Drosophila melanogaster: one gene and its partners. The protein of the gene in region 2 interacts with the protein of the main gene of each other region in a pairwise test. Each region holds a gene or a part of one and is shown on either strand. Other genes may lie near its edges.

Region 1 (7,479 bases), on a different chromosome or scaffold from region 2:
ATATAACAGTCTATTTTCGATCTTTACCGATGTAAGCTAAATAGCGCTGTAATTTATATACGACTGATTAAACGATTTTTACTACATACACTTAACCGGAACAAACGATTTTCTATTGAGCCAATGTCTTTGGCCTCCTTAAGTTAGCGTGTCGCTGCTGGAGGAAGCCAAATGGTGGCAAGACATGCTGCTGCTGGCTGGGGGGGTTCGATTAGACAAGTGACACCACCGCACGCACACCGCCGCCTAAAGTCGGACGACACCACATGGCACCGCCGCAATTGGACGGACTTGCTCCCGCGCTCAGTCATCGAAGACATGTCGTCGCGTACGAGCGGATATAGTAGTGGAGTTCGCTCTCAACGTTATCCTGGTGGGCAGTACCAGGGCAAATGGTTGGGCCAGCAGCCTCACGGGTTTGGGGTAAAGCAAACGAGCAGTGGACTTGTCTACGAGGGTCACTGGCAGAAGGGTCAACGGCATGGCATCGGAAGTTTGCGTCGCAAGGAGCTCGATGGCCGCATGGAACGCATCTACGTGGGTCAGTGGCGGGAGAACAAGCGGAGTGGCGAGGGCAAGCAGTTCTATCCGGACGGATCCGTCTACTTTGGTCAGTGGCTAGCGGACCAGCGAAGTGGAGAGGGCATCCTATGGCAGGCGGATGGCGGCATCTATGTGGGCGAGTGGCTTCGGGACAAGATGCACGAAAAGGGTTTACTTTTCACGGGTGAGTGTGATAAAGAAATAAGATATGTTCCTTTGGATGTATTTGTTTCATTTTATTTATTTTTTCGCAACTTTAAAAATGCATAAAGATTATAGATAATAAGTTAATATGTTATCCATAGCAACGGGAAATCGCTACGTGGGTCAATTTGAAGGAGGCTGCAAATCGGGCTCAGGTGTATTTTACCATGCCAGCAATGGACAGCGGATTCAGCACGGTTTTTGGAGCAAGGACATCTGTAGAACGTCACTACTGTCCCTGCCACAAGATAAAAACAATGAATTTATGTCAAAAGCTCTTTTGTAACACTTACACACAATATATATATATATTTAAATACCAAGACATTTTCGATAAGAATAAATACGAACTAAGGAGACTACTATCTAATCAGTGCCGATGCCGTGTGCGTGTGCTAATGGACTCCGTTTCGGGAGCCTGTGCTTCCAAAACCTGGCGCCTCGTTCGCTTGGATGAAAGAGTCGCTGTCTTTGGTGTCTCTACTGGTTGGCGCAGCCTGGCTCTGGTGCTCCGTGTACTTGTAGTTATTGTCGGCGTTTCTACTATTTCCAAGCTATTATCCAATGTTAGGACTTTACAAGCTTTGGATGTGGCCTTGGGTTTTGCCTTCTCCCTACTTTTTGGTTGTGTCTTCTTTGTGGACACCAAAGGTGAATCGTCATCGTCGCTTATCTCGATCGCTTGGCAGGCATTTAGATCCACGTGATCCGAAGGCGGTGTATTCTCTGTTCCGCTGCCACCGCTGCTACTGCAACTGGTAGCACTTGGTGGTCGTAGTTCCAGCTCCTCGTAAATTCTGAATCGAGGTGCCTTTTTGGCCGACTGTTTAACTTTAGACGCCGTATTCTTGACTGCTGAAACCGATCCTATTGCGGTTCGTTTCTTATCTTCGGGTGAGTGATTGAATACCAAAGCACGTCGAAGGATTTTGACCTGTGGCTTATCCTGACCCACGGGTTTGAGTTCTAACTGAGCCGTCTTTAGCTGAGCCAAAAAATTGTACTCGAAGTTAATGTCGACCGCGCGTGATCGCATTTTAAGGCCCAATTGAGCCGTTGATATAGCCTCTACATGCTTTCGCGCAAAGCGAAGATAGTTCAGATGATACAGCTGCTGGGCATGCAACATGGGATACAAAGCGCTACTCATCGGAGGTTTTTCCTGCATCCAACTATGCGCTCTTCCATAGAATTCGTCCAATTGTTCGCTGTTTCTCTGCAGAAAGCGGAGACGTGCATGTAGACAGCCCGTTACAAAGTACAAGCATTGCAGCTGGGAATTCTCTCGAAGATTCGCTGGCGCCACATCGAGTGTTATGTAGCGATCCAAGTCCAGTTGGGGATTTGGGCTATGTGGTCGCATTTTGAGCAGATTCGGCGAGGCCATATTTAATAGCTGCTGCTTTCTGATCGGCTCCACCAACTGGAGGAGATGCATATTACTAGCCAGATCTCTAATTGCTACATCCTTAATCGCTTCCTTTTCCGGCCTACTCGTTGGATTCAGCTGTTTTATACCTAAACAATGCTCGATGAGTCTCAACTTCGATTGCGCCTTGTCGAAACTTTCCATTTGCAAATTGGTCCATAACCATGCAAGGAATACCTCTATGGCTCTTAAAGCCAAGCCAGATTGGAGTACCAAATGTAGTGCAATGTTGGAGAAGGACAGTCTTTCGCTTAATCTGTTCGCAGAGCACTCGGTGCTTTCCCTGACAAGAGTCGAAAGAAGCAGCTGCAATGAGCCGCCATCTAAACTGGATAGATTGCAAAAACTTCGCACATTGTCCAGAAGAATGTCCAATTGACGCAGAGGAGTCGGCAGCCTGCAATTCGTTGGCTTCCTTTGCTGATACCCAATTCGAAAGCGCACCGTTTGCAGTGTAAGCAATACAATATCACTTTTTCCTTGTCTCTCAGGAAACTCTTCGCGAAGTTGTTCCACATGCAATAGAAGCAACTGGGCATGACTATAGCATTCCATTCTGGCATAGTAACTGGCGAGGTGACAAAAACAGAGCATTACCGTAGTTTGCTGACGCTTGAAGAATTTGCCATTTTTCAATTGAGGCCACAAATCATCCAGCAATTCCTCTGCTACTTCCACTTCCTCGCCGAGTTTCAGATTTAAACGAGAACTAACCTCATTCTGTGACAGAAAATGATTTAGGGCACGCAGATAGGTAAAACGATCTTCCAGCAAGCGACCCATCCTCAGAAGCAACAGCCAGGCATCATCCTCTTCTGACTGATACCCCATACTTGAAAGTGCATTGGCAGTAGCGATGGCATCGTCAATCAATGCCTCCCAATCAATAGACGTTTCATTTGCGCTCAATGGCTCTTGATCTGCTCGATCGAAGAAGTTGCTGAAGGCCGAGATGGCTTCACTAGCATAGTTGACCAATCGCTGCTCCCTTTGTATGTTCATCTGCCATAAATTCTTGCTGAGTAGCAGCTCCTCGAACATATTTTCCGTTATCTCCTTGGTGGAAACTTTGGTTTTTTGAGCCTCCAGTGCGTCCAGTAGTAGTCCCACACTTGCGTGGCCCAGGCACAAGTTATCCATTCGACTGAGCGAACGTTGTTGCCTTAGCTTATCATGAACCTCTATGCATTTCTTCGAAATCGAGTCATCCTTTCGCATTTGTCTGGCCAAGAGTACCAGATGATAGTCACTCGTTCGGCAACGAATAAGTGATTCCATATGAGCCGTAGAAGGACTCCTCAAATAGTGTAGTAAGGCAAAGAAATCGGTATCATACAGCTGTTTCTTCTGGTCCGGAGTGAGAGGGAAAGGTAGTGGCGTGGACTCGTGCCACTCGTAGACACACCTTTTGATCTCGGTGCCCTTTTTTCCCAGATTGTGATAGTACAAACAGACCTGTGATCTTAATCGTGCCGGATTCGTAATCGAGGCCAAGTAACTGGCTTGAATTCGACATGCTATATTGGAATCGCCGCAATGGGAGCTGGCCTTAAAGAGGCGTCGGAGTAAACTGCTCATATCCTGGTCGGCAACCAAAGGTCGCAGCTTCTGCAGTGGCTCCAAAAGTGGCAGCAGCACGGACATTTGCTCCGGACAGGTGACCTGATCAGCCACGTATGTCAGCTGGCGCACTAGCTTAATGATCTCCACACTGGTGGGACCCAAACACTTCATGGTCTTAGCTACATCCATTGAGTATTTGACTACTCCCAGTAAGGGCTTGTGAGGGCTCTGCAATAGTATTGAAATGTAGCATTAAAATTCCACAAAATTAGATAAAAATACCCACCACATTTGTTTTCTGCTCCGCCGCCGGTTTCCAATTAATATACGCATCTAATGCGCACAATCCATACGCCAATATGCAGTGCCGTCGCACGCTCTTGCATGCCTCGTGGGAGCAAGTGCAGCCCAAAGGACTCCTCGTAATATTAACCGCCAAGCTAGCACACGTCTGAAGCAACTGAAAGTGCGCTGTGTAGATATCGGGGCTGCTCTCTCCGTCAAACTGCTGCCAAAATATCTGAAAAGGACTCTGCAACTTACTGTTACTTTGATGGATGAGCACCTGTAGCAATTGAATGGCCACCAGAAAATCCGCTAGCCACTGTTCTTTGGCATGCGAGGCTACTTTGTGCTCGAAGAAGTGCTGAAACTTGCTAGACAAGTCAATGTAGGTGCGCTTAAAGTCGCCTGTGGGTTCCCGAACAAAGATTAACTTGATATAGTAGTACATCAGCTGTAGAGCATAGCACAGGTTTGATTCCTGGCGAAATAGTTCCTTGCTCATGCGCAGCAGCTGCAATGACATCTGTTGATTGGACTGTGGACTGAACATGTCGATTTGTACGAGAGCCAACGTGAGACTCAGGCACTCAGGGAATAAGTTGGCCAGGTTCGAACTGGTGCTGCTGGCCAGGAGCATAAGCAGCGCGTTGAACATTTTGGCAAGACTCTCCGACGGCAGGAAGCTTAGGGACTTGAAGAATGATCTACTTCTTTTGCCAAATAAACTCTCGTTTAGTTGAACTAGAAGCGTTGCGCATAGACTTATTTGCCTTTGCGTCATGGCTGCGAATAGATCTCCCAATGATTCCAAAGCATAACACAATTGACTTGTAGCTTCCAAGGGGAGTTTTTGCTTCTGCAGCAGCACATGGAAACCATTGAAGTGGGTCAAATGTATGTCCAGATATATTTTGTAGTCTGATTCTTCTTGCAGACGGCAGGGTTGTTGTCGGATGAGGTTGTACAGCTTCTGACAGGCTTCAATGGATCGCTGTGAACGGGAGAATTGGTTAGAAAGATTCGAAGATTCTTATAGCGACTCCTACCTGATGAAACAAGCCATGATGTATGTACCGCAGGCTGGACAAGTGCGCTTCCCATAAGCTTGGCTTCTCCTCGCAGGGAACTACGCGTGGCAGCATTATGCCCATGATGTCGCAGTAAAGATCCGAGTTCTGGTGCAGATTATCCTTTAAGGCGAGGCAAATATGGCGCAATACATTCACTTCGTATCTCAGAGGTAGTCCATCGCCAGACAACTCCCGGAATTTGGCTTCCACCGTTTTGCGGACTTTTTCCACATCGGAGCGGCTGCCCTTCAGCTGGGTGGCTATATCAGTAGACATTTTTTCAAAGGGAATTGGCACATTTAACTAGTTTAACTGCGACGCTTCCTTTTTTGTTGCTTTGCGCCAGATTTTGAGATCCAGTGTGACCGTCCATGCTAAAGCTGGAAATCCTTTAACGATAACATCGATATCTCTAGTTTTCATATCAGAACACAAATACTACAAATTCTTGTGGAAAATACTAAACTTCCATGCTCATTTCCGATAACGATACAATTTGTTGCTTTATTGATATCGAGATTTAAATAAAAAAAAATACGCTCATATGCGTAAGCTCTTCTCTTTAATAGAAATCATTTTCCCATTTTCCCCCGTAAAAGACAATTTTAAAATGATGTAGTTTATGTATTTCAGTTTCAATGGGCTGGTAAAGACACATCTCATCTCGTTAAATTAACGCGGGGCCTGCTTTAATAATAATCGGTTAATTACTTGTGTATTAAATGAAAAGTCTTGTCTAAAATTGTTTTGTGTATAAGATTTACTCGCCACATTTAATGAAAACACTACTGCCAATGAATAAGTGGAAACATTTCGGTATGTGGTAAAAGTACACTTAAAAGTATATAAAGGTAAACAATTCGGGTTGCTCAAAAGTGAGTGCTCTACGTTTACAGAATGACGCGGAGATAAAGTTTGTGTATCTGGGAGGTGGGTGATGGGTAACAATGTAAGTGTGTTTAAATCGCCTTGAGCAGAAAGTGGGCGAAGTAGGATGCTTAACTTATGCGTATTTAAAGAAGGAATGACTTAAGAGTTAGTTAAAAGTTCTTAGCAGTAAATTGTGTGATCGTTTTCACGCGAAACGTTGACAAATCCGCAGTTGTTCAAATAACGCCGGAAAGCTATTGTTTGATTTTCGTGACTGATTGAAATTTGAAAACAAGATGCTGCTGGATGGCTAAAAATTGTACACGTTGTAATTGTGTAATCTTTAACATAGTGATTTGGATTTCATGTTGCGAATCCTGAAGATGGCGAAGGTGTTTAAAATGAAACTGGAACTTGGGCTCGGATGAGGCTATACTAATGCGACTTGCTTAATTGGTTGTTTGCTTGGTTTCCTTTGCATTCCTCCTCGATTTTTCTCGCTTAAACATGTATTTTTTTCTTGTTTAGCTTTGTTTGATTATTACGTTCATTATGCTCCTCTTTGTTTGGGTTGTTTGTTGTTTTTTCTTTTTGTCGATTTCTTCTTTCATTAGCTTACATTTTAGAGAAACAAATTGTGGGTTTCCTAAAGGATTTATCATCTTTTTCTATCAAAATATGATGTGTGTGTGTGTTTTTGTTTTGTGTGTGGGTGTATATTTAAATTTATAACGTACAAAGACGCTATACCGACAGATCAGGGTTTTAACCATCATGCTTTCTCTTCTTGCCTCTGACTTGCGACTCGTCTGGAAAGAAAAAAAGGAAAATATATGGCATTAAGAACTAATGCTGTCTGGGATATAAATAATTGAACTTACCTGCTTCCTTTTCGCCATCCTTGTCCTTGGCATTCACTGATGCAGCCGATTCGTTTGCATCACCATCGGCATCATCAATATCGGAATCCTCTTCCTCGTCCTCCTCGCCAGCCTCGTCTTCGCCTTCCCAATCAGAGTTATCCTCTTCCAAATCGTCATTGTACACCTCCGACAGGGACACTTCACCATTCGCCTCTTCGTCGCTATCATCGCTGTCGTCATCTTCGTCGGAAACTGAAAAATCAAAGGTAAATTTGATTAAACCAACTTGCTTGTTTGTACATCTCGAACTTCCCTAAATCGATTTTTTAATGTGTTCAACGGAATTGAGATCAACAAACCTACGAACTACTATAACGCTTCTTGTGGGTAAGAGAATCTTTACTTTTTCTGCAGCATTTTCGAGTTAGAGAAGTTCGACTAATACTGAAGAAAAGTTCAGAAACGTTATGCTTACAATATGTAGCACTGCCCAAATTTAAAATGGCAAGGAACCAATACAGCAGGATTACAAAACTTAAGTTAGAATTGCTAGGAGGCTGCGGTGTGGCATTTATCACAGATTGTTCATCGGTTGAAGCATCAGTAGATTCCCTTAGCTGCAACTCTTTCAAGTATTCATCTAATTCGTCTA
Region 2 (3,699 bases):
TCATCCGTCTCGTAGTTGTAGTTTGGATCGTAGGTGATATAGTTGAGGCACAGCTCCAGGATCTAACAAAACCCATAAGCTATTAAACGTGAATGAGAACATAAAGCATGTGTACTCCTTACCATGGGAATATGCGGGTTTATGGCATCTGGGCAGCGCATGACGAAAGCTTCGCAGGCCTGCAGACAAAACTCGCGCAGCTCATCGTCATCCCGCTGGCTGTACTGGCTCAGCAGGAGCATGGAGCGATCAATGTGATTGCAAAGTCGATGGCCAGCCTGTCGACTAAAGAGTAAAGTTAAATAAAATTGCATCTAAAGATCATATGGCATAAAATATATAACAATTTCAGGAATTGGAACTTACCATATCGAAGCCAGGCACTGAATGTAAGTTCGAATGGCAGCTGGATTTGGTGGGTTCTCTAGGCCATCGAGCAGATGATCGATGACACCGTTGTAGGCGTTGCTATTGGCCTGGATCAGCAGAAATGACAGGGCCACGATGGTACGCTTGCGAACAGCCTGGCGCGATGAGGCCAACTGGGGCATCAGAGCTTTCAGAATGGTGCTGTGGAAGGGAACGAGGAACTCCCCGAAGCGAGAGAGCAGATCGGCCAGAATGTCCAGCGACTCCAGTTTCACAGAGACGTCCTCCTATTAAGGAACAACGGATTAAACGTTTGGGTGCCTAGGGAATAGCAATATAACGCACCTTCTCAATTGCTGTGCTCAGTTTGCCGGTGATCCTTTGACAGACATTTGGGGCCAGGGAGTTTGAGGACTGCGGCAGCTCGGCAATCACTGTCTTTAGGCCAATACTCGATATGTCGCGCAGCTGCTCCGTGTTGGACATCATGTTGGCGCACAGCGAGTCCACGATGGTCTCCACCTGGATCTCCTTCACCTTGTTGACCAGGGGACCCAGGCACTTGACAGCCAGGTTCTGAACTTCGCCGTTCTTGTCTTCCAGCAGCTTGAGCACCATTCGCACCACCTTTTTCTCGGACTCGTCGTCCAGGATGATGCTATCCTTCTGTAGCTCCGTCATCAGATCGTTTGTCGCCATGAAACGGAAGTCCTTGTCCGTCGACGTCATCTGCAGCAGACGAGAGAGCGGAATTAGAATTTCGTTATGTTGCAAAAATGAAATTCTATACATACTTTTTCCAGCAAATTGGCAATTTGGTGGTACTGATGTGACGCCATAGCGAAGGCTTTGAAACGTTCGATCGATAGCAATTAACTGATAAGTGAAATATTGTGTATTTGTATTGGGCTGCCCTATTTTTGGTGTTCTAAAACTTGAAAATTTACTGAAATTTTTCCGGTATTGAATCTCCAAGTTTTATATTCACTCAATTTTGTTATAAAGGCTGCTTAAGTGGGCCCACTTTGAAAAACTAAAAAACCCACTTTATAATCCCTAATGCCTTTTGGATGCCGATAATGGTTTTGGTACATTTTCGTGGTATAAAATACGGTGGAGAAATATTTTGGAACAAGATTTTATGTACTAGTAAATTTTTATATTTAGGTTATTTTATTTTTGAGTTAATACATGACAATCAAAATATAAATATATATATTATCAAATATTAATTCCCAATTTATTTACTAGTAAAATACTTTGTGTCATTACCATCGTTTCAGATGAACGATATATCAGCTATGTGGCACTAAGAGTCTCCCATCTCTAGAAAAGTGCCGCTCGTTTTCAGGAATTATTTTAAACTAAACCGCAGCTCACTGCTAGAATTCAATCAAAATACCTTTTTAACACCAATAAATGCTAACAAAATGGATCAGATTTTAAACAAGGAAAACACCGGCATTAATTGTAAGTTGAATTAGGTTCGACTCCCGTTCGTGTTAGTAATTACATAGCCATTTATCATTGCAGTGCCAGCGAATCCCATTAAAAATGGAGTTCCTACAAATTCCGTATTGAAGAAACCTCTTGGTAACCTTGACAATGTGATGCACCAAACTCCTGGAATAACCCCGTTCAAAAGCACTTCTCTGAAACTCGAGGGTAGTATTGCCAAGCTTTCGCTGCGAAAGGCCCCCAAACAAAATGTGGTCAGCAGGGATCGCGAGGAAGTTAGGTATAAAACAAATAGCTGCTTTTTGGGCGCCTACGTATTGAATTGCGAATACAGAGTCGTCAATTTGTTCAACTACACTGACTTTCCGAACGAGAAATGTTTGAAGAACTGCAGCAAGCGTAAGTACCGCTCATATTAAACAACTCCCCTTGAAAATTGTACTATAAGTTGTATTATTACAGCGGTCACAGAGACCTGGTCGGAAAATCAAGAGGGCTATGAAGGACTATTGGATCAACTTTATCTTGATCTGCGCACATTGGAAAATAATTTGGAAAACAGATGCCTTCCGCCCCTAGATTTTACTGACCTGCCATACATATACAACACAGAAAACATGGAGCCTGCAGAGCCTGAATACTTATTAAATTTATATCCCCCATTGCCTAACTTGGAAGGCATTGATGTTCTATTTTAGATCCTTGTTTAAAAGTTCTATGATTAATTGTAGTTTAATATTTTTTAGCTAGGTATCTTTGTACTACTAATTAATTATTTATTAATGTTATGCTAAGAGAAACTGTTATACCATTAGCTATCCAAGTTTGTTGTCTCGAATCACATTTGTGAAAAATATTTTTTTTACGCTACAATATATTTAGTAGTTTAAGAACCGACATTAAGCCTCCAACAGGCAATTATATGTGTACGATGTACCTCGTTTGGAAGTGATTTTGAATTAAAGCAACTATAAAAACTAACTGGGAGATTAATTTATGGAGCTTTGGAGTTCAGTTGTGAATGTAAACAGAGTTTATTGCTTCCACCTTTTGTCTCTTGATATTTATCAGCATTCGCGGGGCTTAAGTATATTCACTCCGTTTATATTGAATTTGATATTTGGTGGAATAATTCTAATCTATTTTTAGGGTTTCCTCTGTGTTTGCCTAATATGAAAAGTTTATATTTATTTGGGAATTAAACATTTTTGTTCAGTAAACCAAAATATTTTCCCAGCTAGCTAGCTTTTGTTTGCATCTTGTTAGCCTTTTCCCGCTAAATGACGTCTGGCTTTTTTCTGGTGGCCAACAGTTGGCAACACTGCGGCACAGTAATGTATCCAGTTTTTTTTACATTGCTGCAGAAAGGTTTCTCGTCTCGCTGGTGACCTTAGTGGTCCGTTCTCCTGGATAAAATAAAAGTGAAAATTAACAATATGAGTGTATAAAACGAAATGTAAATGCAAAAGAGGTATAAATCTAACAAATAAACATATACTCGTGCAAATGAACATAAAAAGACTCACTTAAGATGTGCAATTGTTCACTAATAATTGTGTTTGTGTTAAAATTATGACCTAATACGGCAATTGGTACAAAATACATACGCATTTAACAAACTTTCCGACCACACCGAATCGAAAGACTTAGGCGACAAACTCGTAATTGCCGAGGGATGTTGCGATGTACATATGTTTAAAGACGTGGCAGTGTCACCAGTGCAACAATACATCTCTTGTATGTATGTAAACATATGCTGTTAATGTATAATATTTCCTGTCTGATGAAATCAAGATCGAAACTAATTACCGACACTTCAATGGACTTTTAGTGAACAAAAAATTAAATTAACACATGTACTAAGTATTTGTA
Region 3 (5,282 bases), on a different chromosome or scaffold from region 2:
CAAATCGAGGCCGTAACACAAAAAAAGAAAAACACACGCATATTACGCATACGCCGCGCGCTCGGCGATTAGATGGCTGGGAAGAAAAGAAGTTATTGGGTTGGGCCTAATTAACGAATGTGTGTCATAATGCGACAGGCGTTAGTAGGTCAAGTAGATGCGATGCTGGGCGATTGGAGGTCGCCGCAGGTTCGGTGGGGGAAAAGCTCTGGCCAAAAGGGCAACCCGAGGACGAGGATGGGAACGAGGTGAGATGAGTCGCGTTTTTGGAGAGCAAACTGGGCGACAAGCCCGAGTACGAGTGCGAGTAAATAAATATATGGGCGTTTCTGGGCATTCAGGCATTATTGCACATTCGCCCCGTGGACGAGGGTTTAGCCTAATCCCCACTCGCATTTCAATTATATTGCATTTTTATAAATTCTCAATGTTTCCTTCACTCAATATCTTTCTCTCTGACTGTCGTTTGCACCACACTTTCACTTTTTTACTTTACCTCACCCACATTGCGATTTGTACTCGAATTAATGTTTTTCACTCCCTACTCTTGCACAGGCAAATGTAAGAATGAATCTGTACTCTGTATCTGGCATGATTCCAACTAAGGAAAACGAAAACTCTAACCTAAATCAATTAATCTAAATAGTTCTCAAACGGTTTAAAGTTCCAACAACACAATGTACAAAGTCTAAACATGTTTAAAACTTCTACTTAAAACTAAAAACTTAACCGAAATCAAGGACACTTCAGTTAAAGTGCTAAATCCATAAGGAAACATCACTCAATCTTCCAAATAAACTAAGAAAAGGTAAGTGCCTTGGAATTTCTTCCTAATATATAAATGTTTAGTTTATTTTTACTATTCTGAGTGTTACATTTAGCGTTTAATGCAAACTTTGAGCACCACTTTCCACTTGAATGAAGTAGTTCAATTAAATTAAATTATTGTACACAGTTCCATACGCAAAACTTTGCTTAGGGAGATCGACTCCACGACGAAATGAGCTATAAAGGCAGCTTTTCCACGGCCAAATTCCATGCGGGAAGTCCGCGGCACACGTAAATGCAGCAGTTGTAGATATTCGGCTCCACTTTTCCTTGCTGTACGAGAGATAGGATAGAGCACAGGCTGCCCAGATGGTAGTTGGGTTGATCGTTCATGGTGGGCGTGGTTTCATCTTTTCCTAAATTTAAAAGAATTCCTTAAATATGTAACTTAATAATATAAATAAGACATTACCTTTTATAATGCCATTTTTGAGCCAAGGCACCCGATCAATATGTGTCCACGGAATCACTTTGTTATCCCCCGGGGCCAACCAACGACTCAATATTGTCACCGAAACAGTATCCATATTACCATCCAAGGCGGGCATGAGAGTACCAACTATCGAAGGACACAGAGCTCCATGGTAATAATCATGGGCTCCATACAATGCGCTGTACAGGCCCGTGCCCAACATGCGTGTAGAATCGCAGCCGAATAGAAAAACAACGCTGCGTACCCGAGCCCGGCAAATTATGCGACCATTGACGTACTGCAGCCCAGAACCGTGACCTGCGTATCTAAAATTTAAGGCAAAAGTATTAGAATGCCATTGTTCGCTTGCAATCATATCTTACACAAAGCAATCCGCCTGTAGCGCCTGTTTCACCATCACCTCCTCATTGGGCACGGTTTCAAAAAGATGCTGCCACTGGGAGAGCCAGTACTCAAAAAAGCTACGCAGCCTGCGGCCGGAGTTGACCAAATCCGCATCTGGGTTTATTACACACATGCCACGTTTAATATTTGTTGTGTAGTAGCCATGCTTTATGTTTGATTTGTGATTCTGGAACAAGCGCCATAGGCAATGCAGTGATTTGACGCGGGAGAATTCCTGCACGGTGACTAGTTGTTCCCAATGGAGGTGGTCTAGACGCTACATAAATAATATAGTAGTATGTATTATAGTATAGAAATTCAGATGAACTACCTCATCGACTACCAGGATGATGGGAAATCTTCTGCTCGCCAGGGGCTGACGCTCCTCCACTTCCGCCCAGTCGCTGGCCAAACCCTTAAGCAATTCGTATGCCGACTGGATCTCATTTTCGTTGCTCGACAGCTCATAGCAGATGAGTTTGAGATCTGCGATTTCCAGTCGATTGGCATGCGAGGCCGCTTGGGAAAGTAAAACACGTTGGTGGGTACCCCATTGATTAAGCAGACAGAAATCGTCAACACGAGTATAGGTGGCTTTGATTTGTTTTTGAACAACAGTGCAGTCATATCTTTTGCCAAAGAACAGAAAGGAATATGGAGATATTATGTCCCGAAAGTCGGCAAGTAGTTTCTAGAAGAGGTAAAGTAATGCTAATAAGATACATTGATATTAATGTGTAGTACTTACTTGCTGAAAAGTGTCAAAACCATTCAGCTCCTCCCAATACTTCTGCTTAGCCTCTTTACCTTTCATGTTGAGTGGATCCACGGTTACCACTCGCCTAAATCTTTCCACCAGAGTGCTATACTCTCGAAAGAGATTTGCCGTATTTTCGTTGGAAATTTTCAGGCAAATCGGTCCCAGTTGGGAACTTCTACAGTGTCGGAGCAGAGTGAGATATATTGCTCCATCGCTGGCAATGATCTCATTGAAAACGGAGTAGGTGGTGGCGGGATTAAAGCTCTTGCAGAGCTGGAGGACACACCATTCTTGGGGCAGACTATTGCATTTCTCTGAAATGCGAGTTAGACCCTCTGTAGGATCCTGGACATCATCCAGGAAGTCTAGATACTCTGGTATTTCGTTGATTGGCTTCTTTGGCTGTTTCTCCTGCTCCATTTGCTGGAGGTACTTGATGATGTTCTGCAGAAATTTTTTGCTAAGAATAATGTTGGTAATGTTTGTTTGAGTTTTAAAAGAGTTTAGTTAGTTTATATATCACCTTTTGTAGTCCTTTTTCTCCAGTTTAGTGGCTGATTTGATCAGCTCCTCTGCGGTGGGACGCTGATTTTCCAGTTCCGCCGATTCGGTAAGGTAACGCAGATCGGTGGACTGGAACTGGGCTTTAACCTGGTAGTAAATTGAGTGCTCCACATTGCCATTGCGGTATTCCTCATCGGCGCGCAGTAAATTATATTCTGCAGAAGAAACATGAACATTAACATATTATTGCGAAGATGCAGTGGGAATTTCGAAGTTTCTGGGTCTGCTTATATAGTTACCCTTCGCCTCGGGGCCAACATCTGAACTGGTGAAACCGGCCAGCATCTCAGCCTCGTCACCGGTTTCCAGCATTTCCTATTATTTATTATTTACTTAATTGCTTATTTTCAAACTCGAGTCCGCAAATTGCTTCCTCCTCTTCGGACGATATCGATAGATGCCTTGTAGCCTTTACCAACACTGAGCTATCGATGGGCGATGTGCGATAGGAAACTAGCTCATTTTGTGGTATTTTCTAGTACTTTTTTTGAATTTCGCGGTTATTATTGTGAAAAGCATTGTACTTAATATTAGTCAAATTCGTAAGCTTTAACAAAAATGAAACTTAATTAAAAATATGAATATTAATATTTACTTTTCTGCAAGCAATTCGGGTACGCCATATTACTGTATTAATTACAGATAACTTGTAATTTTTACGATCATAGTTATGTAGTTTTAAAGTAATTAAGAATTTTATAACATCCTATGCCCAATAAACTATAATCGTACGATTTAAGGCATTATAGCTTTTAGTACACCCGTTTTTGTTGTTTTGCTGTCAGCAAAAAGCTTTCCCTCTTGTTGATGTTTGCGGCCGTTCATTCATAAAAACATGAATCGAGATGAAAAGGTGCAAGAGATTGCAGGTTGGCCGGAAAACAGATGTTAGGGTTGCCACGCCACCTAAATAAGGATGAGCAGCGGAAGCTGCGCAGCAACCACACCCTCTCAAAATGGAGCCTTAACATCAATTAAATATTTGTTCAAGTGTTTTAGTGTCTGATTAAAATATATTAGCGCTATTTTCCCATCAAATGCAGTTCATATTCATTTCCGAGGGTCAACCCTTAGCCTTTAAAGCCTTTTAGTTTTTGGCAACCCTAAACCACACCCTCTAGTTGCCCTAAAAACCTTACGCAACAACAAAAGCCAAGTACACACATATGTACATACCGTACATATAGGCGGCCAATTAATGCATATGCGAGCCGAGATACAATATTTTATTTTTTGACTTTTGGTTAACTTTTAAGCTGGCTTTTTTGTTGATTTTTAAATATGTACTTTTTCCAAGACTTTGTGACGTGCGTCTGGAGCTCTGCTGCCGCCTCTGCCGACGTCAGCTGCAAACTGCAGTTTTCTAATGACGTCTTTTGGAGGCAGCAAGAGATAACGGTATTTAACCGATGCGAGTGGGCGGCTCGAGCTTTGATGCCACGCCTATTTCTGAAATACAATTTTCAAGTATTTCTTGCTAATTAAAACGAGTTGTTAACAATATTCAAAATATGCAAAAACATTTGTTAAACCTTTAAAAACTTTGAAGTGCAAGCGGCTAGAGCGAATAATTACCGTTAGAGAAGCTGCAGCTGGTCGCTGTTTTAACTCAACGAAAGCTTCGATAAATATTGAATTGGCGCAGGGGTATAAGGACCTTTGCTCTCTTTGGTTTTGCCTCTGCCGCTACTGCGGCCGCTGCCACTGCCGACAGCGACAGCGACGCGAGCGTCAGCATCCTTTCTACTTATTAATTTTGATGTTGCTTTTCACTTTTACTTTGTCGGGAAACGTGCTGTTCAAGAACTTTTGCCTGGTGGGCCAGTGTTGGAAAAGAGAGGCTTGATCCTTTAATCGGAAATTTTTTAGCTTGATTGTCATGATGGAAAAGAAAAGACACCACCCCCTCACACCACTAAGCCAGCCCTATCACCAAGCCCCCCTTTAAATTCACTGGCCTTTATCCTTTATGTTTTTTGGCTGCATTATTAATGTCGCTAACTCGGCACGTTCGTTGTCCTTTCCGCCTAGCAAATTATAACATTAATATTACATTAACACACACGTACGCCAAATCACACACACATACACATATGCATTGGGGAGACATTAAAACTTTCGCACACAGCAGCACATGTAACGAAAGGCCAAAAACAACAAGAGCTAAGCCACCCCAAAAACAAAAAAAATACCGAGAGTATGTGTGTGTGTGTGTGGCACACATTCCAACAGTTGCAGCGATGTCGCGGTCGACTGCGCAGTCGGCGTCGCAGCATCCCTCTGCATTTGAGCGACTCAAAACGAATTTCGAAG

What was found.
Region 1: the proteins of pim (region 2) and thr interact in a two-hybrid assay, tested with the Drosophila melanogaster proteins (2 studies listed by BioGRID).
Region 3: the proteins of pim (region 2) and Sse interact in a two-hybrid assay, tested with the Drosophila melanogaster proteins (2 studies listed by BioGRID).

Annotation. Positions count from the first base shown.
Region 1 is NT_033778.4:17,860,481-17,867,959, forward strand, and holds thr (three rows), read right to left. Parts: upstream 5,484-7,479; 5' UTR 5,371-5,483; coding exon 5,071-5,370; intron 5,016-5,070; coding exon 4,026-5,015; intron 3,968-4,025; coding exon 1,118-3,967; 3' UTR 1,034-1,117; coding exon of another isoform or gene 849-1,033; 3' UTR 793-848; downstream 1-792. Other genes in the region: CG14490 (uncharacterized protein), read left to right, coding at 319-727, 849-1,033; mapmodulin, read right to left, coding at 6,730-6,773, 6,846-7,079, 7,303-7,479. UniProt on the Drosophila melanogaster protein: Required specifically for chromosome disjunction during all mitoses; maternally provided protein is sufficient until mitosis 14 then zygotic protein is required.
Region 2 is NT_033779.5:10,361,300-10,364,998, forward strand, and holds pim (pimples), read left to right. Parts: upstream 1-1,689; 5' UTR 1,690-1,799; coding exon 1,800-1,839; intron 1,840-1,902; coding exon 1,903-2,226; intron 2,227-2,289; coding exon 2,290-2,525; 3' UTR 2,526-2,793; downstream 2,794-3,699. Other genes in the region: Cand1 (Cullin-associated and neddylation-dissociated 1), read right to left, coding at 1-62, 123-285, 367-656, 715-1,098, 1,164-1,208.
Region 3 is NT_037436.4:5,658,874-5,664,155, forward strand, and holds Sse (separase), read right to left. Parts: upstream 3,375-5,282; 5' UTR 3,282-3,374; coding exon 3,209-3,281; intron 3,125-3,208; coding exon 2,929-3,124; intron 2,866-2,928; coding exon 2,394-2,865; intron 2,337-2,393; coding exon 1,977-2,336; intron 1,923-1,976; coding exon 1,624-1,922; intron 1,567-1,623; coding exon 1,241-1,566; intron 1,185-1,240; coding exon 1,006-1,184; 3' UTR 827-1,005; downstream 1-826.